Oreochromis niloticus: one gene and its partners. The protein of the gene in region 1 purifies or fractionates together with the protein of each later gene. This does not show direct contact. Links are inferred from orthologs where the notes say so. Each region holds a gene or a part of one and is shown on either strand. Other genes may lie near its edges. The genes, in order: rnf7, rab40b, asb7 and asb1.

Region 1 (5,622 bases):
CAAGCTAAAGCCATGCGCTGGCTTGGTACTGAATGGATGATCGAGCATGCATCAGGATTTAAAGTGAAGAGCAGTTCAGAGTAAGTTTGATATCGATGTGGTTCAGTCTTGTTCTCACGTTGACAGCGGCGTGCTCACTATTGCGCAGGGTACCTGCACAGAAAGACTGCTGGTCTTTTAAAAGATGTGGGGGACTTATGGCCTTTTTTAATAATATCAATCATACAGCCATTTAAATACAACCACAGAGTGTGGAACCAGTGTTTAAAATTCATGGTTTAAATACGAGGGAATTAATTCGTATTTCTAAATTTATTGATCTCTGTATCTGAAAAAACAAAAAACAAAAAGTTCTACTTAAAATCAGAAGTTACCCATTTTGAGTCATAGCCTTAAGCTCGATTTAATGGAGGAAAGATTACTGAAGGATGTTTCAATGGACAACAATTTGTCTTTTAATTAGGCCAATAAGTTTTTAATACCAAATTTTAACTGGGGGCTGCTCTTCAAGACAGGACAGTAGATTTGCTGCTGAGCCGGCAGCAATGTTAAAGAGCCTGACCTGTCTGCTGATGTGGTCCTTTCAGGTTCATAATCCTAAACTAACTTTCAATAAAATGATCACAAACAAGGTGACATCTGACTGACAAACAAGGAATCTCTGTATGTGTATGCACTAATTGTGACTGCAAGTTTTTACTCACTCTGATGAGCAGCAGTCTCATACTTGGGGTCCTATTGGACCTCACAGATATCACACTCTTCCTTGACCTCATAATGATGTCTTCAGTTCAGATACTTCTGTGTGGAGTTTGCATACTTCCCTCTGTGTCTCCACAGGTTCTCCCCGGGTACCCCGACTTCCTGCCACAGTCTAAAGACATGCATGTTAGGTTAATTGCTGATTATAAGTTGGTCATACTTGTAACTGTGAGCATCACGATTGCCTCTCCTTGTTAGCTCATAATAGCTCATAATAGACTGCTGAGTTGTCCAGAATGTACCCCGCCTCTCGCCTAGTGACAGCTGGGATAGGCTCCAGTCCCCCACCGACCTGAGTTTGATCAGCAGTTGTTAAACAAATCCCAACAGTTAGCTGGATATAGGAAACAAAAGTATTTTATGGAGATGTCACATGAGGTGACATAAGGAGGTAAAAGTAGTATCTTAAGTGATTTAAAGACCTTTTAGTGCTGACATTAGACAAAGCTCCAGCTTCCCCTCAAATTCTTCAAACATTTAATCATTCAGGAGCATTTGTCTGCTTGCTTTTAAATTTTGAGTTGAGAAGAGGATGGGAAAGGAACTATATGATTTCACTGCTTCTCTTCATTTGCGTGTTTGCACTGGAGTATTAGAGGTTGTATAGTCATATGTTAAACATAGCCTATCTTTGTTTGGTAAACGTTATCTGCATTTAGTTGTTGGAGGCTTGTGAAAGGTGTCTGCAGCCATAAAACATGCATTCAGAACACAGAAAAATCTTTCTGACAGAGTTATATACACCAGTCATTTATAGCATTATAACAGCCTGCCTAATATTGTGGCGGCCCCCATTTTGCTGCCAAAACAGCACTGAGCCATTGAGGCATGGACTCCACTGAAGGCGTGCTGTGGTATCTGGCACCAAGATGTTAACAACAGATCCTTTAAGTTCTGTAAGTCATGAAGCGGGGCCTCCACGGATCAGACTTGTTTTTCCAGCACATCCCACAGTTCCTCGATTGGATTGAGGCACTGGGGGATTTGGAGGCCAAGTCAACACCTCAAACTCATTGTTGTGCTGCTAGAGGCCACAGCTATCAGGGAGTACCGTTTCCATGAATCAGTGTACGCAGTCTGCAGCAATGGTTGGCAGGACCTGAGGTTTCCTAGCAAAACTGTGCTTGAAGCATCACACTGGCTCTTGCCTTCTTCCCATAGCGCATCCTGGTTCCAGGTGATCTCCAGGTGAGCAACACACGCACCAGCCATCCACGTGAAGTAAAAGAAAACGTGATTCATCAGACCAGACCACCTTCTTCCACTCCTCCTTGGTCCAGTTCTGATGCTCACAGGCTCATTGTTCATGCTTTCATCTGTAGACAGGAGTCAATATGGGCATCCTGACCGGTCTGCAGCTACACAGCCCACTACACAACAAACTGTGTATTCTGACTGTGTTCCACCAAAACCAGCATTAACTTTTTCAGCAGTTTAGCAGTAGGTTATCTGTTGGTTCGGACGACCCTGTCGCTGGTTCACCACTGTTCTTTCCTTGGACCACTTTTGATAGATACTTAGCACTGCAGACCGGGAACACCCAACAAGAGCTGCAGTTTTGGGGATGCTCTCACGCAGTCGTCTAGCTCCCACAATTTGGCCCTTGTCAAACTCGCTCAAATCCTTACACTCGCCCATTTTTCCTGCTTCCAACACATCAACTTTGAAGACAAAGTGTTCACCTACTCCCTGATACATCCCAACCACTGGCAGGTGCCGTGTTGAAGAGATGATTAGTGTAATTCATGACAGTGGTCATAATGACCTGATCGGTGTGTATTTAATCTCTTGGTGAAAAACTGACAGTTTCTGCACACCTTGCTGCACAAAATGATGTTGAAATTGTTGCTCTGTGACCTAAGTAAACACTTTACTGATCAGTATATGGGTCTAAATGGAAGGTTCAAAGCTCACTGAATATTTACCCTACAGATTGTTATAGTTTCTTCTTGGTTATTGCAGAGATCAATAAAAAAAACGATAAAACAATGACAAACACAGTTTAGCAAAATAGCAAACAGCTTTTTGCTTATCCCTTATTTCCCTTTTCCCTTTTATGCCAGTCTGAGTTGACTGAAACTCAGGATGATTCAGTGTTTTGGAATTGCTGGCAGAACTCTTTGACTCCATTGTTTATTAAATCTCTATCTAAGTAAGCTCCAACAAATACATATAAACAGATTTTTGAGAGAAAGAGTACATTAAGAGTTTATTTAAGCAATTTTCTGTTTTTAGTAAACATTTGCCAAACAGTGTCAAGGCAATACATTTGTAAAATATTACTAACAAGATGATTTATGTTCAGTGATGTGCAAAAGTGGTTTTCAGTGATTTTCAAAATGGTCTTGAGCAATAGCTTTCCAGGCTTTCTGTGGGTCTGTCAACATTTCATGGTACACTGGCTGCTTTTTCATTTATTTTTAGTCCAATCCTGGTACCTGAACATTTTTAAACACATTTCTTTAGTTAAATCTATAAACAATGAAATCCAGCCGAGACCCGACAGCTGGCCCATCAGCTGATTATCTCACCAAAATAGGTGTAATTATGAACTCAGAAAAGTACCATCATGTTTTGATCCACCATTCAGTACCACACGGAAAATATCTAATTGACAAAATAATTAAACAGTAAAAACATATTGGACTCACTCATTGCAAGCCCATCAATCATGGATGGGCCTCCCCGGAGCCCGAACCTCAACATTATTGAGGCAATGTGGGATCATTTTAACTGAGAACAGGACACACAGACAGCCAACATCCAAAGAAGAGCTTTGAATGTCCTTCAAGAAGCCCGCAGAACTATTCCTGAAGACTGCTTAAAGAAATTAAAAGAAAGTTTGCCTAAGACAGTTCAGACTGTGCTGAGAAATAAAAGTTGACTTTTAAACACGCTAGAACTGTACTAATTCTGTTTTTGGTCTTATATTTTCAAATGTAGTTTCTTAGAGAAATATAAAAAATGGGGGAGCCTCAAGACTTTTACACAGTACTTTAAATATACTTCTTAAGATTTAATTATGTGATGTTACCATAAAGTATTGAGGACATTCAGTATTTCAGAGATTAAACTTTTTCCTGAATGTAACATAGGTGTAAAGAAGCAAAATGAGAAAGTGAAGCAGAGACTAGTCGGTGTGCGGTTCCTTTGGGACGTGGATAATTCCTGGTAAACAGCGCCCTCTTCTGTTTCTATGGAGACAAGACATATGCTAAACCTACTAGCACTGGCGCTAGCATCACCCAGCTGTTTCATCCATTTTGTTTAGCCTAGCTAAGCTGCGTGTATTTACAGTGCGGCAGAGATGGATGACGGCGACGAGCCGGGTTTAGTCCTCTCTCACAATACTTCGTCGGGCTCCAAGTCGGGTGGGGACAAGATGTTTTCTCTGAAGAAGTGGAATGCTGTAGCTATGTGGAGCTGGGACGTTGAGTGTGACACTTGTGCCATTTGCCGAGTACAAGTAATGGGTGAGTCCGAGGAGCTAACGGAGCTAACTTGGCTAATTGTACCTTTAAAACCCGAACGGCCCGGCGTGTGGAGGTACTCTAACATTGTTCTTCATTTTCAGATGCGTGTCTACGATGCCAGGCGGAAAATAAACAGGAGGACTGTGTTGGTAAGACCCTGCCAGCACTGACATATTTATTAGCAGCACAGACACTCGGCAGGTTAATCCAAAAAAAGAAAAGAAAAACAAGCTAACAGTAGCTAGTTGGAGCTGTTAGTCAAACTCGCTGAGTCAGGCAAAATACAAGATAATAACCTTTTACTTTCTTCTTTCTTTTAAAATATAAAGCAGAGATTTTATATGACCATTTATTAGCATTTTGATATAAATATAAGGTGTCAAAGGGCACCTAATCTAATCCTTGGGGGTGCTTTTTTGCATTGCAGTGACATTTGCATGGTAAATGCCTTTTAATGAATAGGACTGTCGTGTTTTGTTTTGTTTTGAGCTTATTGTAAATGGTTTCTCAATATGTGCCACTCGTGCTCTGCCTTTGTGTTTCAGTTGTGTGGGGAGAGTGCAACCACTCCTTCCATAACTGCTGCATGTCCCTGTGGGTGAAGCAGAACAACCGCTGCCCCCTCTGCCAGCAGGACTGGGTGGTTCAGAGAATCGGCAAATAAGCTGCACATCCAGGTGGATTACACCTGCGTGCACCCCAAAGCGGTGACAGACTTGGCAGTGATCAGTGCAGAGCCTTGTGCGGAGCCGCTGACACCGCAGCTGCCCTCCTGCTTATTGATTGCATGTTTTCAGTAGTCCGGTACCAGAGGAAGGACAAAATGAAAGCTGCACAGACTGGTTACTCATGGAGTCCTGAAGAAGATGGATGAAATATGTTGAATTGTTTGGTCACTTGTTAGCTTTACATTGGTGTCTGTGGTGGTGTTTGGCACACCTTGAATATGTGACCTTTTTCTCTTCTTTTTTTTTTTTTTTTTTTTTTTTTTAATAAAGACTTGTGAAGATCTGTAATATGTGTTTTTTTTTCAGTAAGAAGTTTGAATAAACTGTGTATGATATGATGTGACTCACTGAACACTTTATTAGGTTTAGATGCTTGTTATCATCATATCTAGGCACGTAGGTGTAGTCTGTGATCTACAGAAATTCAAACGGCATCAGAATGAGGAAGAAAGGTGAAGTGATTTTGAATGTCTCATTATTGGTGGCAAACAAAGTAATCTGAGTATTTCACAAAATGCTAATATTCTGGGAAGATTTCTTGATGTCAGAGGAGTTTGGTCAGACTGCAGAGTATGCAGAAGAGCATCTCTGCAGGTGCTGAACCTTGAAGCAGATGGGCTACAGCGGCAGAAGACCACCACCTTCTGTCAGCTAAGAAC
Region 2 (7,880 bases), on another chromosome or scaffold:
TTAATTAGGGGGACATTGGGTATCAGTGATCTACATAACGCTAGAATCATTTTCTTTTTAAAAATATTCTTGAGGATCAGTTAATCTCTTGAAAGAACGGCTAAAAATGTAGTGATGGTTGTTGGTTGTTGTTCCAGTAAAGCATTTATCATTTTTCTCGCATGTTCCTGTCAACAGCTGTTAATGTGACAAACCTAAAATAATGTCTGTGTGAAATTTACTGTATATGAATATCAAAGTGATGCAACAAACAAATGTCACGGCAGTTTGGTGTGACACTGACACCTGCTGGATGTCATCAATAAAGCTGAATCCTGAGTTGAACACTGTTTGCTGCTTCCTGTTTGTTGGATACCGAAGTCAGGAGTTAAACTTTATTTAAAAATCATAAAGGAGAAAAGATAAATTCAAAGCTTTAAAGTCTGACCTCAAACAGTCCTGACAGGTTGAAAGGATGTTTTCATATTTACAGTAGTCACTAATTTATATCTGCTGTTGCTGTTATTTAGGGTGACCAACCGTCCTCTTTCCCCTGAACATGTCCACTTTTCACGTTCTGTCCGGGGCGTCCGGGGGGATTTTCGAGGTTGATAAAAATGTCCAGGTTTTCCTGTATTCCGACAGAGGACCCATGTGTGTGACGTCATCCCCAAACTGCTGTTTTGTGAGCGCTTGTTCTGCGCTCACAGACGGGACAGACAGCACGCAGCAACGCGCCTAATGATGTTTCATCTTTCAGACGAACTGCAAAAGAAATTTCCCTCGTACCGACCACAGCTGGACTGGCCACCGGTGGGCCGATGGTGATTTTTCGTTTTTACGGACTGATGGTTTTGTTGTTGTTGTTGCTGCTGCTGTAACGGTATAAACAACAAAAGGTGATGGATTGGCCAGATGCTGGCCAATGTGTAAAAAACAGTTGTTTGGTGGTGTCTATGGTGGAGCTTCCACAGAGGCCAGCAGGTGGATGAGGGAAAGGGGAGGCAGGAGGAGGAGAGACCCGAGGCGGCCGCCAGTCCGAGTGTCAGGCAATGTTCCCTCTAATTCACACCAATGTGTGAATGGGTGGATGACTGGATGTGTAAAGCGCTATACAAATACAGACCATTTACCGTTTAATTTTTCATGTGTCTGAGCGAACACACAAACTCCCTGAGCGTCCCTTGGACCACTGTGAGCGACATCAGACGTGTGCACTGTGGTCACGCCAGCATCTAATCCATCCAAGTTACATGGTTTATTAAAATGATCAAATCACAGCATTTACATTTATGTTAGACTACTTTTAATTAACTGCTTTATCCCACTTACAATGAAAATTAAAAAAAATCCTGTTCATGACCTGTGTAGTATGTTAACACTATTGGAAGTAAAAATAACTTGAACTCCAATTTTGAAAACACAACTTTCTTTCTTTTTTCCATAAAGCTCTGACTTGTATTATGAGTCTGTGGTCTGGGAGAGAGTCCTGTAACTCTGTCTGCAAAATACAGTATATAATGACCAATGTTGGGCAATTAATTATATAGTTACTACTTCAAAAAAGTAACTCAGTTTGGCAAACAACAAAGTTTTTTGCAGCTATTTATTTTTTTAAATGCAGCCAAGGCGTTTTTAAATAAACATTTCAAACTATTTACAGAACAATCAGCTGTTCTGCATCAAATCTGATGCCACACAAATTATTTGTGCCACTCCAAAAATTAATTTCTGTCCACTATGAGATAAAGGAGAACAACAGCCTGATACCTGCAGGCCTGACAGCAGGAGATGTATCACTGCTGTAACACCTGTAACATTCAGCAGCCGCCTCATTGTTCTGACACACCAACAAAACTATTGACTACACTACACACTAACTACACACTAACTACACAAGATTTGCACTAAACGTCTCAAATCTCTCACATCTCAGAACACCGCCGTCACTCCTAAAACTTCCCCCTGTTTCTTAACAACTAGATGCCACGTTGCCATATCATTTTTTGATTGGTCAACACGTACTTTTTTGGACGAATAGGAAAGGGTGGGGGTTTTTGGTTTTGTTTTTGCTCACAGGCTTTCGAGCGTTTTCCTTATAAAACGCCGTTTTTGCCGTTTCTTCCCGCAGTAAATATAAACAACGACAGTATTCAGGAAGAAAACCAAACATTGCAGATATTTTTATCATAACTCTGGTTTTACGTGGCCGATCAACACAATTTAAAAACTGGTATAAAGTCCACACTTTGTCCGTCAGTTGTTCCGTCTGTCCTGCTCACATCTCCAATGGTTGGACACGTTGTCATTAATGTGGCTTCACTCCACATCAGCCATGCCGCTTTGCTCGCTAAAACACCGGTGTCGGCACATATTTACTTTAATTTCAATTCAGGTTAGATTTTTTTTTTTGGTGTGCGCAACGCAGATTTTCTCTGTGCAGAGACCGTGCCAACAGTGCGCAATTGCGCACGTGCGCAGCTTAGAGGGAACATTGGTGTCAGGTGAACTGAACTTCAGGTAAGAAGTTATGACCTGCAGTCTATCTGGGTCAGATATAAACCAAGTTTAGGTGGAGTTTATTTTCGTTGTGCTGACTTTTTACAGTCAGTTACAATAACTCGTACTGCGTGCTAGCTAGCATGACGGAGTTTCTACACAGCTGGGTGGGTGCTGTGATGTTACTGATAGTGATATGATATCGGTTTGGATATGTGGTGAGAGGGAAACGTAATGGTGGATAACAGGTGTTATTCTAAAAAACGGACGGAGCAGTGGAGCAGCCAAGGGAATAGAACGATATAAAAACTGTATCACTAAAATATAATTTATTATACAAAAACAGTTAAAAATTTAAAAGCAATTAAAACAACACTGGCCACGGAGAACACACAATAAAAATCAATAAAACATAAACATTAAAGGTCCAGCGGCGTCCGCCACGGCGTAAAAGTCACTAAAAGTCAAAATCCAGCCAATCGGAGCGGGGCAAGGAAAACCCGGCGGGGTCCTCACCCGTCCTGGCAGTCTCTCTGCTCAGAGGTGCTGGAAAGAGAGGGGCAGTGACAGTCACTGTTCTTTCCAGTGGCTCGGTTTATTGCAGTACGATAAGTCGCGAGACTTATCCCGGATGGGCAGAGCTCCTAACTCTGCCCGCCGCTTTTCTGTAGCACGCCAGCACTATGGTCTCGCCGTGGGAGGTAGGGCGCTGTCCCACTGCCAACTAATCCCCCACCATAGCGTCCTCTGGCCTCCAGCTATTCCCGCAGCAGCACAGCTCCCTCTGCCTCTACGCTCACTGGCCGTCGTATGCCCTCGCCACGTACTGCACACCAACCTCCACCAACGCCGTCCTCCTGCGTCTCCGAGCACTCTCTCTAAATCACCACCGGCTGTCACCTCTCAGGTGTGTCAAATTAGTAAACAGGAAAGGGCGGAGTCTCTCCAGGACAAGTTAACAGATATAACCAAAACATGAAATACAAAAAATAAATAAAAACACTCCACATTGAAACACAGCAAAACATGCAAAGCAAAACAACTTCAAAACAAAATCTGTCCTTCTCTGGATGACAGAAACATGCAGATGAAACCAGGAGATGTCCTTACTGAATCATCAGAGTTGAACAGGTGATGGAGAAACAGGTTTACCTTTTAGGTGACATGGATGAGTTGAAGTTATGAACTGTTTCTGAGAGACAAATAACACCAGGATCCTTTTCTACGTAGCTGACAGCTGGTAACTGTGCAGGGGCGGGTCTAGCAAAGCTTTGCCAGGGGGCCAGGTAGGGCATTAACAGGGAAAGGGGGGCACAAGGAAATACTTTTCTTTCTTACTCTCATTTAAAATGTCTCGCTTTTAATAAATAATTATCTGAATCTTACAACCAAAGTTTTTATCTGATGTAAAATGTATAGAAATCATACATATACCAACAAGACTGTACATCACTGTCACAACAGGGTTCATTTTCATTCAAAGGCTTTATGGCTTTTCCTATAATACCTGGTGGGCCGGTCTCTAGTCAAAATGCCCGGGCCGAGTTTTTTGTCCCAGTCCAGCCCTCATACCGACCCAGTACTGGTAATTTTTCTTATGCAGATGAGGCATTATTTCTGTACCATTATTTAATTCCAGAGGTTTTTAAGTTTTTTGGGGGGTTTTTTGCACTTGTTGACTTGTAAAAGCCTATATGACATATTTTATTTCACAATTCATTAACCGCACAGAGAAGGCATCGTTTAAATATGTTAAATATGTTTCTTTAAACAAGTTCTTCATGACTGAGCTAAGTGTCCTCTTTTTTGGAAATCAAAATATGGTCACCCTACTGTTATTGTGCCTCGGCCTCGGGGAAACCAGAGCACAACACAAAAAAGATAACTCCCCCACTCCCTGCTCCCGGGGAAGGACCCACCCTGCCACAGAGTTTGTGGGTTTACTGCAACCAAATATGTCATTCATCTTTGTCAGGTTGGGCAGGGTCAAAACAGCCAAAACAATGTTGTTGAGGTGACTGCTGTTATGAGTTGGTGCTGTATAAATAAAATTGTCACACTTTCAGTCAGTGATTGGTAACTCGAGTATGAGCTGATGGAGGAAAACTTCTTCCTTTGACTGCATTAAGACATTTCCAACAGTCACTGCTTCACAAAACTCAGAGAGATGCAGAAGGACATCATAAAATATCTCCTGTAAATGTAACCTCAGTCTGCTCCGAGTGCTGCACTTGTTGATCTGAACATCGGCCTCATCAAACCCAGAGTGGTGTCTGTCAGAAGGCTCATCTCTAGACTGTTCCTATGTAAAGCATCTCTTCCGCCCAGCCGCTGTCATGCTTTTATTTTCTCAATCCAAACAGGAAATAGTTGCCTTTTCTATTTCTGTTCAGCTTGACGTCACTTAGTGAGCCAATCGCACAGCTTGTCCCACTCGCTGATGGACGTCTCCAACGTCCAATCCTGACTCAAGGTTGCCCTAGCAACTCGGACGATTGCCCAATCAAACCGAGATAAACACCCTCCCTCACATCTTCAGCTGGAGCAGGGAGGGGGGAGGCCAGATATCCATGAGTTGCTCCTCAGTCCGGGAGCAGACCTGGACTTCAACCTGCAGAGGATTTTTACCGTTGTGCGTAAAAGCGCGCCGATGGCACAGCTGGACGCGCTCCGAGCAGCTCCTGAACACGCTCCAGTCTGAGTGCGGGTCCTGGGGGGAGGAGAGGAGGAAGCCTGCTCTCATCTCAGGATGGGACACCACAGCCGTCACCCGTCGCCAGCATGAGCCACAGAAGCAGCCCGACGCGCGCCTACGACTTTCTGCTCAAGTTCCTGCTGGTGGGCGACAGCGACGTGGGGAAAGGCGAGATCCTGGCCAGCCTGCAGGACGGAGCCACCGAGTCCCCGTACGGCTACAACATGGGTGAGTGGGGGAGTGGGTTCACCTGTCTGGTGATATCTGTGGAGGCTGCTGGCACCGAGTCCTCCATCAGGAGTCTGACTTCATGTTCACTCAAACTTTAAGCGCCTCCATCAGAGCTCCAGTTCCCCACAGCAGCCTCTCTGACGTCAAAGCTTCGTGAAAAGATTTTATTCTGAGGTGAAAAATGAAAGTTAGTGATTAAAGTTTACAAGAAAAAGCAGTTTTTGTGAAATAAGTTCACAAGTTTATTCTTAAAACTAAATAAATGTATCTAATTTACTTTAATAAACAGCTGAGTGTATTTTATTATTGAAAGCATTTTAACTGGTTCACAAGTTTTACTCTTTCAAAATAAGAGCCATAGTTGTTAAGATATGCATTGTTCTCTGGTGAGCAGAAACCATCCAACCAACTGATGGTTTGGATCCACTGCGTATAAAAACTGGACATAATCACTGTGATGTCACTCAGCAGTAGTGATTGGCTGGTTTCAGAGCCTGCCCCCTGTGGACGTCAGAGGAACTGCAGTGAAGCTTTGTTCTGGGAAGCATTAGAAGCTCCACACACCGTTTTAGTTTGTAATACTGAAGCCGTGTTGCCATGGTCTGTGCGTGTGTGCGTGTGTGCGTGTGTGTGTGTGTGTGTTAGTAAACGCTGGCAGGCAGCTGCTCATGACTCATGCTCGGCCTGCAGGAGGGCGACAGGACGAGTTGAAGCTCTCCAGCTTGAGGCGCTGACACACGATGTAACACGCTGTGCTCACGAGTCACATGACCACACGCTCAACCTGCTGTCATAAAAACAGATTTCATATTTAAATATGTAACGTCCTGCACACGGCTGTCATCTCTCTGCAGAAAAGTCCAAACTGAGCTTTTAGGACCGTTTCATAGATGATCTGAGATCCACCGTGGTCAGACGTGACGTGCAGCAGCAGCAGGTGATGTTACTCACCTGTTTACAGCAGACTCATGTTTTCATGTTTTATACTTGGACAGAAAACGATTTACCAGCAGAGAACAGTCTGCTGGCTCAGGAGATGAGTGAGTCCTCACACACCAAAAAATCTCCCCTGCACATAAAAAGGCCTGCTGACATCACCAGCCACAGCCTGCAGTGAGGAGGTCAAAGGTCACAGATGACAGGCCAGCGCCATGCTTTGTGGATGCAGAAAAACACCCACGTGGTCTCTGAATCATCCTGGATGAAGGAAGGCTGCACTCTCGTGTCTAATTCTGAAGTGAAAGAAGTAAATTCAAAAAATAGAAAATGTATAAAAACTCTGTAGTAAGTTTGATCCAATTATCCTGTTTTTAAAATATTCTACACAGATACACCGTCAGTAATATTTGTGTCTCCTAACAGTGAAATGACATGTATCTGCTGTCCCAGTGATAATAATCAGCTCAGCCTATGTTCATTAATCACTGTGAGACCAAAGCTCAGATCTAAACACTCAGTTTATACCTGTTTTTTATGGCGTTGGCTTTGTATGATGTCATAGGGAGGATATATCCTTATACGGTCAATCTCAGGCACAGAAGCCCCGCCCACTTGCTATTTAAACCTTCTGTTATGAGAGGCAGCCCGCTGTCTCAGTATGAGATGAAGGATTATTCTGAACTGTGAGTCAAGCAAAGAATTACAATATGGAGCAAAATCGTTACTCAAAAAAGTAATCTATTACACATTACTCATTACTTTGCTTAAAAGTGATGCACTGCGTTACTTAATTATGCTGAAGAAAGTTTTTTTGTTCCATTGCTTTCTCATTACTCCGTAAATTGTCCTGAAACACAGTCCCAACGAGGACACAGGTACGGTCTTTCTTTTATTGTTCAGGTATGAAGAAAAGGCAAAGATGGAAACCAGCACAAAGACACTTTGGAGTGGTCACCATGGTGATTCTGAACAGGCAGGAACAAGCTGCAGGCTGACTGCTCATCAGTTTGTTACCTGTTGATGTTCAGGCTCTGCCTGCTGGGCCGGGGTCTGCGTACACCCAGCTTTACTATCAATCTGGGTTCTTGGCTAGCTACAGTGGCTTGCAAAAGTATTCGGCCCCCTTGAACTTTTCCACATTTTGTCACATTACAGCCACAAACATGAATCAATTTTATTGGAATTCCAGGTGAAAGACCAATACAAAGTGGTGTACACGTGAGAAGTGGAACGAAAATCATACATGATTCCAAACATTTTTTACAAATAAATAACTGCAAAGTGGGGTGTGCATAATTATTCAGCCCCCTTTGGTCTGAGTGCAGTCAGGTGCCCATAGACATTGCCTGATGAGTGCTAATGACTAAATAGAGTGCACCTGTGTGTAATCTAATGTCAGTACAAATACAGCTGCTCTGTGACGGCCTCAGAGGTTGTCTAAGAGAATATTGGGAGCAACAACACCATGAAGTCCAAAGAACACAGCAGACAGCTCAGGGATAAAGTTATTGAGAAATTTAAAGCAGGCTTAGGCTCC
Region 3 (7,549 bases), on another chromosome or scaffold:
TTTGAATGGTCAGGGGGAGAGAACAGACACTGAGGGGAAACATTCAGCGTTTTTTTTGTTTGTTTGTTTTTAATTGTTTTACCACTGAATGTGCTGCTGAGATTTCTGGGTGAGAAAAAAAAATCCTATGAAGTTATGTCGTTTGCTAACCCAGTACTATCACGGTTATCAAAAAGAAGAGCTTCAAATGATTTGTTTTTAATTTAATTGGTTTAAAGTTCAGCAACACCTTTAATTGTACTTATGCAAAAATTATAGATCATCAAACATGCTGCACACAATCTCAAGTGTATATCTACTGGTGATGTTTTGTTTTTTTTTGTTTTTTTATTCTCACCTGATCCTGCAGCTGTTTGGATGCAAAGCTCTATGGACTTGAGAATAATCAGGCTGACAGCTCTCAGCATCACGCAATCCCAGTTCTGAATTTGATCTCCCAGAATGTGCCTGGTTCCTCCAAAGAAAGCGCCAGACTGCATTTGAATACTCAGTAACCAATTGTCAGAAGCTGCTTTTAACACAGTTCGAGCAAGAATGCTCATATCAGAGCTCCAGTTTCCACATGTCATCCATGACGCCACATCCCCTGAAATCCAGTCCTCTCCAGCCTTCTGAAGGATTGCTCTCTTTAGAAGAAGCAGCACTCGCTTTTTAACATAATACTCTGAGGAGGAGCAGATGTTTAGGAGGGCCAACGAGTGAAGGTGGGTTATTCTCTGACTCTTCAAATGGACACCAGCTCCACATACCAAACTAGAAGAAGTCAGCACCTCAAGCAGGTCTAGCAGTAGACATAATGATGTTCCCCAGTGTGTGCTTCTGGTAAAATCCACTAAATGCTGTGACATGTGTTTCTTCTCTTCAGGGAGCAGTTTTGAACATAGAACACTTAGACTGAGGTCAAAACCTGCCAGAAGTGTCATAAGCTCTAATGGAAGAAGAAAAAAAATGTGAGACTAGACAAAATCAACCATCATCCTGTAAGCATCATAGGTTGCTCTTTTCTGCCCATATCTTACCCCAATGAGTTACCCTAGCTAAAGAACAAATGATTTTATTTACAATTTCAATAACAAACTCATCTTTAAGTAAATTCATTGAAATGTTCAAAATCTTAAAATGTTCTGGCTGCAGTTTCTACAATTTGATAATTTGCTCATTTTCTGTATTTTTGTTACCATTATAGCCTAGATATCGTGGATTTTGGACTCTTTGAAAATTAAAATTACTAACACCGTTTACCTCGATGAGCTCCTTTAAGAAGTTTTTTGGAGACTTCAGTCAGTGACCACAAACAGGCATCTAATTCAGCACCAGGCCATGGGTTCTGAAATGCTTGTTCACATTTCCTCTGCCAGACAGGACTGATAACTCCCTAAGAAATTTAAGCATACAAGCGCTTAAATTCAGTTTTAAACTGTCAAATCACAACAACAGTCACTTCAAGGCGCTCAATATTGAAAGGTAAAGACACTAAAATTTTATAGAGAAACCCTAACAGATAACCTCCTATGAGTAAGGACTTGGCAACAGTGGGGAGGAAAAACTCCCTTTCAACCTTCTTTTTAAAAGGGAGTTCCTTTCCACTGTTGTCCAACCCGTCAGAACCAGGTCACGGCAGCCATCTGCCATGACCAGTCTGGGCGGGGGACTAGATAAAAGACATGCTGTGGAAGAGAGCCGGAGATGGTGAGTAAAAAAGGGTAAGAGAAGGAGAAACGTTCAGTGCATCTTGAGAGAACCCCAGCAGCCTAAGTCTACTGTTTAGTGCTACTGTGTGGATTCAAGGTCACGCGATTCAGCCGTAGCTATAAGCTTTCAGAAAAAGGAAAGTCTTAAGCCTAATCTTAAAAGTAGAAAGGGTCTCTGTCTCCCAAATCCAAGCTGGGAGCTGGGTCCACAGAAAAGGTGCCTGATACCTGAAAGTTCTGCCTTGCATACTACTTTAAAATATCCCAGTAACCACAAGTAAATCTGCAATCTGAGAGCAAAGTGCTCCATTGGGGTGATATGGTACTATACATCTTCCTGATGACCACAATTGATCATGTGGCTCTTTGTTGTTTCATCCTGGATAGTGCTTCTGACACTCACTAGCACTTGGTCTCCTTCCCTCCGCTCAGCGTACAGTCTCAGAGGGCTAGATTTGGGGTGAAACCCTACATGCATAAGTAAGAAGCTTCGTTGTCTTGATGTCAGTGGATTTGATCTCCTCCTTTGGGAGTAGGTGGCGATTGCCTTGATCTTGTTCTTCCCATTCAGCTACTTCTCAGGACTTGCCTTACTTGCTGGGTTGTTGTAGCTTTCCTAGTAGCCTTTTCATGGTTCCCAATTGGCTATTTTCAGTGTGTTGCCTTCTGATAGACCTTAGAGGACTGCACTTCCTCTCTTTTTTTACTATTAGGGTTCTGCTCATTTTGTGTAGCTCTATGAATTCCAGGTTCCATGTGTGAGGTTTAGAGTCATAGGCTTTCTCGTAGTAAGTCCAGGTGGTGCACAGGTTGGCCAGTCTGGTCTTAGTCTTGAGTGAATGTTCCAGCTACCAGTTGCTGAAGTTTTGCCCTTCTGGTGTTTCTGCCAATTCCTTTCTGGCCCCGCTCACATATTGAGCCATGTCCCTGTTCATCTTAGTCACTATGATACCTCAAGGCACTTTCACATAGGATGTGTCTTTGCAGCAAAACAGTACTCAATTGTCTTTTTAAATTTAGCATTTTCTGCCCGAGTAAAATATTATTTGAATTTGGATAGGTTCTGTTTAACTGTGCCAGAAAGGTTTGTTGTATATCTTGACTGCTGTTTTTTAAGAAACCTCGTACTTGGGACTTGTAGTGACTTCATAATGAATTTGCTCACCTGTGTTTGTGCCTGACATGTGTGCCCCGTGGGGTTTAATTATTATTGCATCTGTGTTAAAATATTCTAAGCCCCTATAATTTGCTCAGCTGTGCAAACAACTTAATTTCAGTTTTGGTTATTTACTCTTGCCTCATGTAAGCAGCAAGGTCTGGTAGTTTTATTGTGACAAGACACTTTTATATCTTAGAGCTTACCCTCTGTCGCCACCACAGTTCAGCACCCCAAACTTCAATGCCCTTCAGTAGGGCATCCCAGGTTGGTCAGTTTAAGGCTGTCCTTTGAACCACACAATACATTTCTCTGGATTCACTGAGTTTAGAAATTGAGCTTCATTCGTAAATTGGTGAATAACGTGCACTCTCCATCGTTGCTTTTGAAAAACAGTCTCTTGTTTTGTTCAGCAGAAACATCTAGACCCTTCTGGTGTCTCCTTTTACATTACTTTAAAACTTTGCTTTTTTCACCATTCTTAACATTATACACAATGAACAGTGTTACATATTTTTTAATAGTATGTGATTTACAGTAGGCTAAAGCGTTTCAGTCAACTCAGAGACGGAAAAAAAAACGTTGCTGAAAACGAATCTCCAAAGAATGACTACTTACAGATTTGCAGATAAGGTAAAAAACACACTTTGATGCTGTCTTTGCAGCCAGATGTGAGATAATGTGGTCCTCGGCTTGGAACCGGTTTACCTATGGAAAAGGTAATTAAATCAATTATTAAGATAACTTTACGTCTTTACTCCCATGACCAGTGGTAGCACTTACAAGGTGCGTGATGAGATCCATGTCTTCAAGCAATACTTTTAGGACCTCCGCATAATAAAACTTAACGTCTGGATGCAGCCCCTGAGACGTCAGATTAGAAGAAACCCTCTCGAGGAAAGACATGCACATGCAGGTCAGCTCCGCATTCTTTTCACCGCAGTACTCTGAGGGGGAACCTTCTCTGTCTTTACCGTGGACAGGTCCACATAATCCCGAATATATTACGCTCGCTACATCGGCAGCATTTTGGGGGGGGTACGATCCCGCAAGAAAGCATCTGTACGCTTCTGTCAAACAGTTAAAAAGCCCTGTCATTATGGACAGGTCTTCGTCTTTACAACTCATATTACCCTCCATTGCGCTGCTACTTCCGCGTGGATCTCCCATGTGATATACACGGAAGCAGCCCTACAAAATACGTGAAGCATTACCAAAATAAAATAAAAAAGTCTAATAAATGAAAATAGAACCTTATATTGTTGTTGTTGTTTTTACATTGTGGGAAATATATAATAGTGAATATAATAATAGCACTTTAATTACTTTAATGACCATGGATTTATATAATGTGTCTATTTTCAGAAAGTTCATTCCGTCAAACTGGACGTTTTCTGTAGGAGAAAGGTTTCTTCATCCAAACCACTAATCTCAGCTGACTGCAGAATAATGATGGAAACTAGCTCCACTGAATAACAATGGGCCGTGAGGTTAGTTTTATGATCATTAATCTGCAAATTGATTGATCAGTATAGCATCATCATATATGCACGCTTCCTTGCCTTTCTGATTTATTTTAAATTAATTGCATCCAAAAATTCATTTTATACGTCTGCTTTGCAAATGGTAGTTCTTGACGTGCTTGGAGCTGTGGAAATTATGCTTATATTGTGAAAGTCTGCAGACGGAAGTGTTATTGTTTTTGCTGATGGAGTCACGCTGGTGAAGCTCTTCGCAGACACTCTGTGATTAAGTCTTAGTGTTGGACAGTTAGATTATTCTTGTCATTACCTACAAAGATATAGATAAAAGTTTGACACTAGCTTCTTTGTTTAGTATTGTATTTGTGCTGAAAGTAACGGAATTATGCGGCTTTGACAACTTCAATCGTTCCGTCTACCTGAAAGCTGATTGGCTCAGTTACACGTCGGTTCAGCGTCTGACAAGTAAGTCTTTGTTTTATAGAGCTGCTGTTTTGTCAATAAAGGCGTAGAATTCCTTTTAATATCCACACACGCCGTGTTTTGGGGTTTATTTCTACCCAATTATAATAGTGTAAAAAGTAAAATGAAGCGAAATAAAATTAAAAACGAGCGAATGAGTTTGTTAGCTTTCTGGCTAACTAGCTGCAGCTAACCTTCTAAGAAACGTACAGCCGTAAACCATGGGTTATTCTAAAAGGATCTACTTTCATTACACTTTCTGGGGTGGTGGAAATGAGCTATCTTCACCGCCGAGCTTCTGTAAGTTATATCTGTATACTTGTGCGTGTTTTGTATTATTGGTCATGTTAGCAAATAAAGGCACAGTGTTGTCTATTGTTTCTCATAAACGAGTTTAACGAGCCAAACTTTTTAAGGTTTAAGGTAATGACAGATAGTTACATTTTCATTCATTTGCAAAGTTTTCTCAGGTTGGATAAAAATAGTGTAATTAGCAAGTTTACCTTTGGGTAGTGTATATGCATATAATTATTTTTTTGTATTTAACTCTCTGGTTATTACTATTGTTTGGCTGTTATGGTTTTCAGCAATAATTGGGGTGTATCCATGACCAATTGACTATGTCCGTTAGTGTTCACAATACTCTTCATTGCCTCTAATCTTTTTTTGATGACTGTGTTTGTGTGCCACAGGGAAACATATTCTCAGTTCCTCACAGTGTGCACCAGTACATCTGCAAATGCAGCTCTGATATGACTAAAAGAAGTCCATCTCTTCAGCTGGTCAAAAGGTACATTTTAGTATCTAAAACATGAGCTTTTCTTTCTTTCTTTCTTTTTTTTTAACAGCAGCATAATTTCTCCCAACAAGGAAACCACAAAAAACTTGCTAGACCTCTTTATCAAGTAATGGTTAAGCCTTTGTTAGCTGAAGCAAAAAAGTGACTGTCTCACATGTACATTTTCAAACAACTTAATTTATAATTACATTTTTGTGGGGATATATACAACTTTTATAGTCTTGTCTCTTTAATATTTAAATTCCAAGTTTTCTGCTTTTTATTCAGTAAGACTGAATTAAATTAATAAAGTTCTGAATGTCGTGGAGTAAAGATTTGTTTGCTGCTTTATAAATTATTTGTGCAATTCTGAGATCAACCAAATCTTTAAATTGAATTCAATGATTTTTTATCACAAATCACAACAGCAATAATGAAATGTTAATAATTTAATAAAAAATTGATTTGATGGTCTTTTGAAGTTTTGGTGTAGCTCAGGTGGTAGAGCACCTGCTAATCAGAACGTTGGTGGTTCAATCCTCATCTCTCCAGTCTGCGTGCCAAATATCCTTGGGCAAGATGCATCTGTCAGTGAATGCGTGTGAATGTTAGATAGAAAGCTTAGATAGAAACAGTATAGTATGATTGTGTGAATGAGGCAAGTTGTATAACCCATTTTGAGTGCTCAGAGTAGAAAATATACTCTATATTCCACCAGTCTGGATTTTAAGTCAAATGTGTTCAAGTGCAGACTTTGAGCTTTAAGTCTATGTTTTTTCAGAGTTTGGATTAACTGCTGAGAAATTTAGGGTGATGGAGGGGCTGGAGCCTATCCCAACTGCAGTACAGTAAGAGGCGGCTTACACCCTTTTCTTGCAGTCCCCTGTTTTTAGATGCTTAAAATTAACTGGACAGTTGTCTCCAAAGCAGTTTCCTCGCTATGTCATCGCAAATGAAGCAGATGCCTGAAGTTGACTCATAGAGCTGATTTTGTATTTGTAGTTTTGCAATTTTAAATATAAGTCTCAGACAGATGGCAGTGCATACAAGGTACACCATCACTAGGCTGGAAAAAAAAAAACACAATAAACCAGAGAGAGATGGTAAGAAATTTGGCAGTGGCCAGATCAACAGTGTGGTACATACATAAAACAAAGATTAACTTTAACCAGAGCGATGGGAAAAGTATTGAGAAGCAGAAAAGCAGCTCAAGATCAGATAGGCTCCTTTCCCATTAGTACCTGCTCGGTTTGAATCGCCACGACTCGACTTGGATTAACTGGTTTTCCATTATAATCAAGTACAACCTAATGTGTGTTTTCATTGTCATAGCAACACGTCCAAGTGTCCTGTGACGTAATTAACATGCAACACAAACGCTACAACAAAGGTGGGTGTCGAGGCAAGAATACACCTCCTGCTCGGTCTGTCGCTTTTCGGCAGACTCTGGGACCACGGCATTGTTCTTTGTAGCCATTTCCCTTATTGACAGCCAGGGCTGTGTAGAGATTTTTGAAGGGGTGGGTGCTGAAAGTTAAAAAGGGGCACATGGAACCAGAGTGAATAACAACAACCCATATTCTTCAAAAATCTAATATGGATTCGCATCATACTGTATCACTGTTATCAGGTGGGGATAAGGCAAAGCAAAGGTAGCCCATTTCTTGCCTGATGGGTACAATGTTGCTGTTGAGGTGTTGCTGCTGCTCCTGCTGCTGATAGTGCTGGAGGGCAGGGCTGTGTTGATCTGACACTGTAGACATTTAAAAAGTCTGTAGGAGATATGGTAGCTGATTGTGTTGTGAGATAATAATGAAATGCAAAGATCGGTGACAGTGCTTGGAACCGTAAGGCAACAGATTAAAAAAAACTGTGGGAAATGAACTAGGCTCTGCCTGTGAATCACTCTTTGCCTCTCTTCCTCCTTCCATCTCCTCATCTCATCTATCGCTGTCCACTTGCTGTCCTTCTGAGAACAAGG
Region 4 (6,958 bases), on another chromosome or scaffold:
AGAAAAAAAACACATTACATAAAAGCTATAATTTCATTTCCATGTCATTGAGTGAAGTAAGTATTTCATCCCCTACAAACCAGCCAGCATTCTGGCTCCTACAGAATACAATCATTCAGTCAATAACAGAAACTCCTGATCTCAGCTTCTTATATGTATAAAGCACACATGAGCATACAATCAGTTTCTTCCATTTCAACCTCTCCAAAAGATGTCGAAGGTCATCAGGGGTAAGATGGAAGGCCTGTGGGTGCGATTATTCAGAAACTGAAGAAAAATAAAATGACCATCAGTCGCCCTCAGTCTGGAGCTCCAAGGATCATCATGAGAAAAGTGGTGGATCAGCCCAAAACTGCATGAGAGGAGCATGTTAATGGTCTGAAGGCAGTTGTGACCTACACTGGTAACACACTAAACCATAATGGATAGAAATCTCACAGCATCTGCGAGCTCTCCCCTCTGAGGAAAGCACATGCAACAACCTGCTTTGGGTTTGCCAGTGAAGAGAAATACTGAGTATGACCCAAAGAACACCATCCACACATCCAAGCACAGAGGTGGAAACATTATGCTTTGGTGCTGTTTCTCTGCTGAGTGTATAGGACAACTTCACTGCATTAAAGAGTCCAGTGGATGAGGCCAAGTACTGTAAAATCTTCCATCAGCAAGAACACTGATGATGGGACTTGGATTGGTCTTCTAGCATGACAATGACACAAAACATCCCACAAAGGTTACAAAAGAGTGACTGAAGAAGAAGTACATTATGGCCAGTCTCCAGACGTCAGCCCTACAGGAAATCTGTGGAGGGAGCTGAAGCTTTAAGTTGAAACATAAAGCATTTAGAGAGTTTCTGTGAGGAGAGGAGATGTTTGCAAACCTGATGACCAACTACGTCTTACTGCTGTACTTGTCAACAAAGGTTTCTCCACTAAGTACTAACTCATGTTTTGCTTGGGGATCAAATACTTATTTCACTCAATGACATGAAAATAATTTATGATTTTTATGGATTTTAGTTGATATTCTGTACCTCTCCATTAAAATGAAACTACCATTAAAATTAGAGAATGTTTATTTCTTTGTAAGCGAGCAAATTTAAATGTTCACTAGAGGATCAAATCATTATTTCCCTCATTGCATGCATGCCCATGACTATGAGATGGCCCTGTATGTTCTCCAATTGGTAAGTCCAGGCTCTGATTCTGCCGGCAATACAGCATCAATAGGAGGAAAGACTGAAGCTAACAAGAGCAAAGCATTTTGCTGTTGTTAGCAAATACAATGCTTTGGTGGTTACTGGACTGAGCCACTGAACGGTTCTCTGTGTATTTTTAGTCCTCCTGTATTGCTGCAGGGCTGCTTCCCTCCACAAGGCTTCCACAGATATCAGAGTAGTAAACTGTATGCTTTTTACTTTTACTACATCAAATTTAAATTCTGTTACATGCACTACATTTGTAGTATATTGCTTTGACATTGCATTGGCATTAAACTATGATCCTCTAGCTGTATGCAGTATAATGCTATGGGTATTGGAACACACCCATCCTGCTGTGAGATGATGGTAACAGCAGCCTGCTTCTGGTCTGTGTTTACTCCTATGAAAACGATTTGGAATTATGGTATCTTTGGACTTGTTTTGGGGGAAAAGACAGTTCTGCTGTAAGATACATTAACAAATAGACTATTCTGTATTCTTTATACAAAATAAATCTATAGTCTCTCCCAGATTCTGTTGTCTCTCTGTCTGCAATATCATCCCATCCCTCAAAGTGCAGCCTTTGTTTTGGTACCTTGCCATTTTCATTTGTATTGACGTTTTGCTTTATCATTTACCAAGTAAAGCATGTGTTAACTTTGCTAACTAGAGTGCCAAATACTCCTATTACTGCTCGGCCTCACCGTCTGAAGCCGTCTTCCTGCAGCAGGTTCCTCAGGGTGTCCAGATCGCCGACATAGGCCGCGTTGTGGAGACGCATGTCATCCTGCTCCAGGGGTTTGTCGCAGAACTGCTCCTGGAGCCATTCCTTCAGGTTACGACCTGCCAAACACAGCATTTCAGGGAGAATAACAGAAATGAGAAGCTGGTTTTGTCTGGTCTTGCAGGGCGATTTGTTACCATACAAAATGATATTTTGCAGAAACTATTCTGCATATTATCAAGTGTAAATTATATCTCAGCTCCCTTATAGATCATATAGACAAAATACACATAAGGTGGCTGCAGATGAGCAGCATTGGTGTAGTGACATTTTCTCCATATCTGCTCCACGCTGTGCTCAGAGAACTCCCACAGATTGAGATGTACACAGTAAAACAGCTCCTTAAATACACATTAAAAGGATCCACGTTACATTAGGCTATGTTCTTTCTATTACCGGGAGCTTTTCTGCCTGAGTCTACTGGTCAAATCAATCCATTACAACTCTATTACTTGTGTGACTAGACAGAAAAACAGATGAAGTGTCACTGCTATACTGCAGCACTGGAGATGTGAACGCTTCCGGAATCCATTGGCCACACCTTATTAGGCTACACACCGTCCCCTTCTTCCTTCTCCCAACACCACCACATCTGTAATATGTCACGCATATTGGCCGTGCTCTTGCAAACGGGGCACAGTTGCAGGACAGCCTGTGGGTGCTTGCGATGATCAATCATCATCGCTCACGGCTCTCGCAGCCATAGTTACCTGCAGCTGTAGCGCTGGGTAGATCGGACACGGTGATGAGCGGGGGGAAATTGATACTGGGCGGGTCGTCAACATCAGCCTCTGGACCGTCGGCCATGCTCCCAAAATGGTCACAGCGTGAAGCTGAAGGTTTGTGCTGCGGCTGCAGAGCGACACTGGGTCCCCAGAAATAGAGAAACCCAAGCGACCTGGGATCAGATAAGAAGCATGAACGTAAACAAACGTGACTGTGTTGATGAAGACGTCTGCTGCTCCAGCTCACTGCGCTACTTCCTGGCTGAGCTCAGCTGCTGGGATTTAAAGGGGAAACGCTGCGTTAAACGTGGAGCTGATGGTCTCCGACTTCAAAGCACTTTTAACCCATAAGAGATCAAAACATCGCCAACAAAGGCCTAAACGATGTTCATTACGCAATCATTCAATACAAAAAATGTTTCACAAGCGTGCGTTTCTGATAGCCTGTACATAAAAGATGGTTTTGATGCCTTTTGTTTCCATAAAACTTTAGGGGCACATCATATTTAGAAGTCTTCCTAAAGTTCATCACAGTCTCCAATAAATATCAGTCACACTTTGATAATTATGATCGACTAAATGTGTTACTTCCAAGCCTAAACGCCTACATGTTGCTTTAAGGCCCTCACCACAAGACCAGGCATTAAAGTTTAGTGGAAAAAAATCCTTTATTTTTCCGCCAGGACACGTGTCAGAATTAATTATGCTGAATTAAAAATGTAGCAGGCCACTGCGTTACCTCAAATGAATGTGAGGCATAATTTGATGAATGTTCATAGCTCTGCGGTGTAAGTCAAATATGAGATTTGTGAGATCTGTGTGTAGTACGAAGAAGACGCTCTGTTTAACTGATAGTTGCAGCTGAAATTCTGCCAGCTGTGCTAAAACTAATGAGTAATTTTTGGGTGGGCAACATACACCAGGCAGGCAGGCAGCTATGGCTCTCTATGCTGCCTGCTGACAGACATGAGGTCCTGGTGGTGCTCTAAAAATAAACGGACAGGTCAGCAGAGCCATGCGGCCCCATAGGAGGACGGACTGTTTACAGACTGCCATCACTGAACATGGAAACCTGCTGATGGTTAAGAAAGTGCACTTCAGCTAGTTTCATAGTGTTAGTGATGGTGGTCAGTAATAACACGAAATCTGACAAAATACTCAGGTTAGTTCTCACACACACAATCATTTAAAATTATAATTTAATTAAAACAGGATACTTGTGTGTTTTATCCACAGATTAAAGTCGCAAAAGTCATTTCATTTTCATTTGTCTTCAAGATTAGTGAAACTCAAAACAAAAGCAAAAGAGCTTTTGAGCTTAGTACAAATTCAGAGGACAAAGCTCTGAGTCACTTTGTTGTTGAGGCCTGCACTGCATAGTTAAACAGACACGCACAACTGAGGCTTGCCTTCTTTAGCACCGTGTGCTGAAGTCTTTCTGCAAAAGGAGCTTCAGCTAAATCTCCAGGTTGCAAAACAAAGGCTCAGCTGCTGTGAAAGTGATGCTGAAGGGCGTCTTACAAAGATGTCTGCAACAGCGCTGCCATAGAAAGTTGCTGCTACGGTGTCACTGGAGGGTCTGCTGGACGAGTCTTTCACATAAGAGTCTGCTTGAGGGTGTGATTATCAAAAATCTTTAAAAAAAAAAATACATATAAATAAAATCAAATAAAATACAAAAATAATACCAATCTTATTCTGGGATAATCTAGACCAAGCTTAACACCTTCAAACTGCACACAAAAACACACAAAAATGAGACAATTCTTTATTGCAATGTAACCATTTATTTCACTCCACTACAAAATTATATAATTATTTGAACTATGATACAGTCTCCACATATACATAATGTACAGTTTATAGTGTACACGATAAAAAGCCTTTTAATATAATGAATGAGCATGCGGGTTCCCACTTTTCCAGACGAGATTTTTGAAATGAGATTTTTCAGAATGCTAACATTTCCTGTAGGTTTTCCAATTTATTATTTTTATAATACTGACATAAACATGGAGATAAGTCAGACTACAGTGTATTTTGCCTGATAAGTCCTTCTTAAAATGTAGAGTGCCACATTTTTTAAAGACAGTCACATTATATTTTTCCCCTTACAAACAAGAATGCAGTTTAAATTAAGATCAGAGCCTAGAAATGTCTGCCCACTGGCTTTCTGTTCTACACACAGTTTCAAGCCTCATTTTTCCACCAATGATTCCCAGCCCACATGTTGTGTCGGCCACAAGTTTGGTAACCCACAGGTTTGGTAAGGCAGGCAGAAATCCTAGTCTGAGCAGAAAATAAATATTTAGGTGGTGTAAATATTTGTGAGAAAGGGAGTCGCTGTGCAGTGTACAAGTCGCCACAATCGCATATGAAATAAAGCATCTAGTTTTGAAAAAAACTGCGTTTAGTGGTTATGATGGAGAAAAGGTGTAATGGATTCCATTCATCAAAATCACCTACATTTCACAGGAAGTGTTATTTTCCAGCAGTGATTTTCTGTGTAATTGTGTTTTCTGGGAAGAAAATGTGTAGCAGAACCAACCAGAATAACAAGCTGTGTACAAGTCTTAAAAACTGTAAAATTACTGTAAATTACTTTGTGTGTGTGTGGTTACGGCACTTTCACTCAGCAGCCACGCAAAGTTTGTACTTTTGTTTCATTCACATTTGGATGACTCTTTTTTCACCTTTTCAATAACAACATTTTCAGGGAAACTGAGGCAGGATCTTGTTTCAGTCTCTCATCTCTACTATCCAACTTCCAACAAGTCCAGCAATGTTCATGTTAGTGCAAAGCATTTCTTACGAGTTGCAAAGGAAGCTAGAAAAATATGAATTCATATTTTTCAATGTATAGAGAAAGCTTACAAAACTTTCTATCAGTTTGGCAGTACGACAGTACAAGATGGTGGCTGCCCTGCATGCTCACTGCTTTTTTCCTTTAAAGTATACAAGCTTAGTGTATTTATAAAAGAGTTAGAAATACGACAGAGTGTGAACATTGCTTATTGCAAAAAGCTTTTTTCTAAAACAGCTCTAATCAAAGTGCAGCAGTGCCTCAAAAGTGGAAGAGTGTTTTTAAAGTAGCGCAAGCCGTTTTCACTCATGACCTTCGGATAACAGCTAAAGAACGAAGACTCCAGATATTGTCGGTGGTGTTCTCTCTCACATGCAGCACACACAACTGTGAGCTCACAGTTTGGTTCACAGTTTGCTCTGGGTAAAGCGTGCAGGATGCGTGACACTCACTGACTCAGAAATCACCGCTCACATCTACTTTTCTCACAGGGGGACATCAGACATTACACAGACTTTGCACTAGTGAGCTGGCAGAGTAAAGACTGTTTCATGTCGGAGCTGACTGTGACAGTTCTCACAGATGGTTGAATAAAATGTGTGAAACTGCTGTAGAGAAAATTTCAGAGCTGTCTTCTTCTTCTTTTCGATTTAACACAGATAGATTTGGTTTATGAAAACTGTAAATGTCAATGAAATGTTAAAAGGTTGGAAAATGTTACTGGACAAATTCATGCCAAGACACTACATTCATGTAACATGCGTTGTTATCAGCTACACTCCAGGCCTCTCTGTGAGCGTCTGATTGTTTTGTAGAAAATGTAAACGTTCTATCTAAACGTTCCTCCTGGTTTCAATCAGCTGGATGTGCCGTGAGTATGTTTAATTACTGTTACGGGTCTGCTCACTACTCTGGTCAAACTGCATGTCAAATATCAAGTGCTCACAAGAATAACATGCCGAGTGCACCACGCCCTCAAAAACTCGGTGATTAAATGAACGAGGAAACATTTAAAATTTGGTCCAGTGGATGAATGTGCAGCTTTCTGCTGTAATGTTCAAGTTGTGAGCTGTGCACTGGCTCAATGCACAAAGGCACCATTTCAAAAGAAGGGCCAAAGATTGGGTTAGGTTAGTGTGCAGATCATAAAGATGCATTTATTTATTCATTCATCTGTCAGTGTTTTCAGCTGCTACGTCTCCAGCATCATCCACTTTTTCCAATCCATCATCTAGGTTTTTGGGAACAGTTTCAGACCTTTAAACCGTCAAGTGGCCCTTTCTCGTACCAATATCTTAAAGTGGAGTAGGAATATATTTGGTACCATCTCCTGGTCTGAAAACCCAAAAGTGGTCCCGTAATTCCACAACACCTCCAAGAAAAATGGCCTTACCATTATTCTGAATGAGAACCCACTCCCGCCTGAATATTCAGTGCGTTTTTGG

The links.
Region 2: the proteins of rnf7 (region 1) and rab40b purify together in Homo sapiens (affinity purification with mass spectrometry; 3 studies listed by BioGRID and IntAct, with this or other methods). This does not show direct contact. The link is inferred for Oreochromis niloticus from reciprocal best matches to the Homo sapiens genes RNF7 and RAB40B.
Region 3: the proteins of rnf7 (region 1) and asb7 purify together in Homo sapiens (co-immunoprecipitation; 4 studies listed by BioGRID and IntAct, with this or other methods). This does not show direct contact. The link is inferred for Oreochromis niloticus from reciprocal best matches to the Homo sapiens genes RNF7 and ASB7.
Region 4: the proteins of rnf7 (region 1) and asb1 purify together in Homo sapiens (co-immunoprecipitation; 3 studies listed by BioGRID and IntAct, with this or other methods). This does not show direct contact. The link is inferred for Oreochromis niloticus from reciprocal best matches to the Homo sapiens genes RNF7 and ASB1.

Annotation. Positions count from the first base shown.
Region 1 is NC_031979.2:12,352,732-12,358,353, reverse strand, and holds rnf7 (RING-box protein 2), read left to right. Parts: upstream 1-4,013; 5' UTR 4,014-4,069; coding exon 4,070-4,235; intron 4,236-4,336; coding exon 4,337-4,384; intron 4,385-4,780; coding exon 4,781-4,899; 3' UTR 4,900-5,097; downstream 5,098-5,622. UniProt on the Homo sapiens protein: Catalytic component of multiple cullin-5-RING E3 ubiquitin-protein ligase complexes (ECS complexes), which mediate the ubiquitination and subsequent proteasomal degradation of target proteins.
Region 2 is NC_031973.2:1,795,089-1,802,968, forward strand, and holds the start of rab40b (ras-related protein Rab-40B), read left to right. Parts: upstream 1-4,856; 5' UTR 4,857-5,259; coding exon 5,260-5,401; intron 5,402-7,880. UniProt on the Homo sapiens protein: RAB40B small GTPase acts as substrate-recognition components of the ECS(RAB40B) E3 ubiquitin ligase complex which mediates the ubiquitination of target proteins.
Region 3 is NC_031965.2:5,046,739-5,054,287, forward strand, and holds the start of asb7 (ankyrin repeat and SOCS box protein 7), read left to right. Parts: upstream 1-4,530; 5' UTR 4,531-4,793; intron 4,794-4,842; exon of another isoform or gene 4,843-5,090; intron 5,091-5,482; 5' UTR 5,483-5,580; intron 5,581-7,549. Other genes in the region: lins1 (protein Lines homolog 1), read right to left, coding at 338-928, 1,243-1,375, 3,466-3,555, 3,631-4,017. UniProt on the Homo sapiens protein: Probable substrate-recognition component of a SCF-like ECS (Elongin-Cullin-SOCS-box protein) E3 ubiquitin-protein ligase complex which mediates the ubiquitination and subsequent proteasomal degradation of target proteins.
Region 4 is NC_031987.2:3,877,439-3,884,396, reverse strand, and holds the start of asb1 (ankyrin repeat and SOCS box protein 1), read right to left. Parts: upstream 3,026-6,958; 5' UTR 2,793-3,025; coding exon 2,696-2,792; intron 2,045-2,695; coding exon 1,906-2,044; intron 1-1,905. UniProt on the Homo sapiens protein: Probable substrate-recognition component of a SCF-like ECS (Elongin-Cullin-SOCS-box protein) E3 ligase complex which mediates the ubiquitination and subsequent proteasomal degradation of target proteins.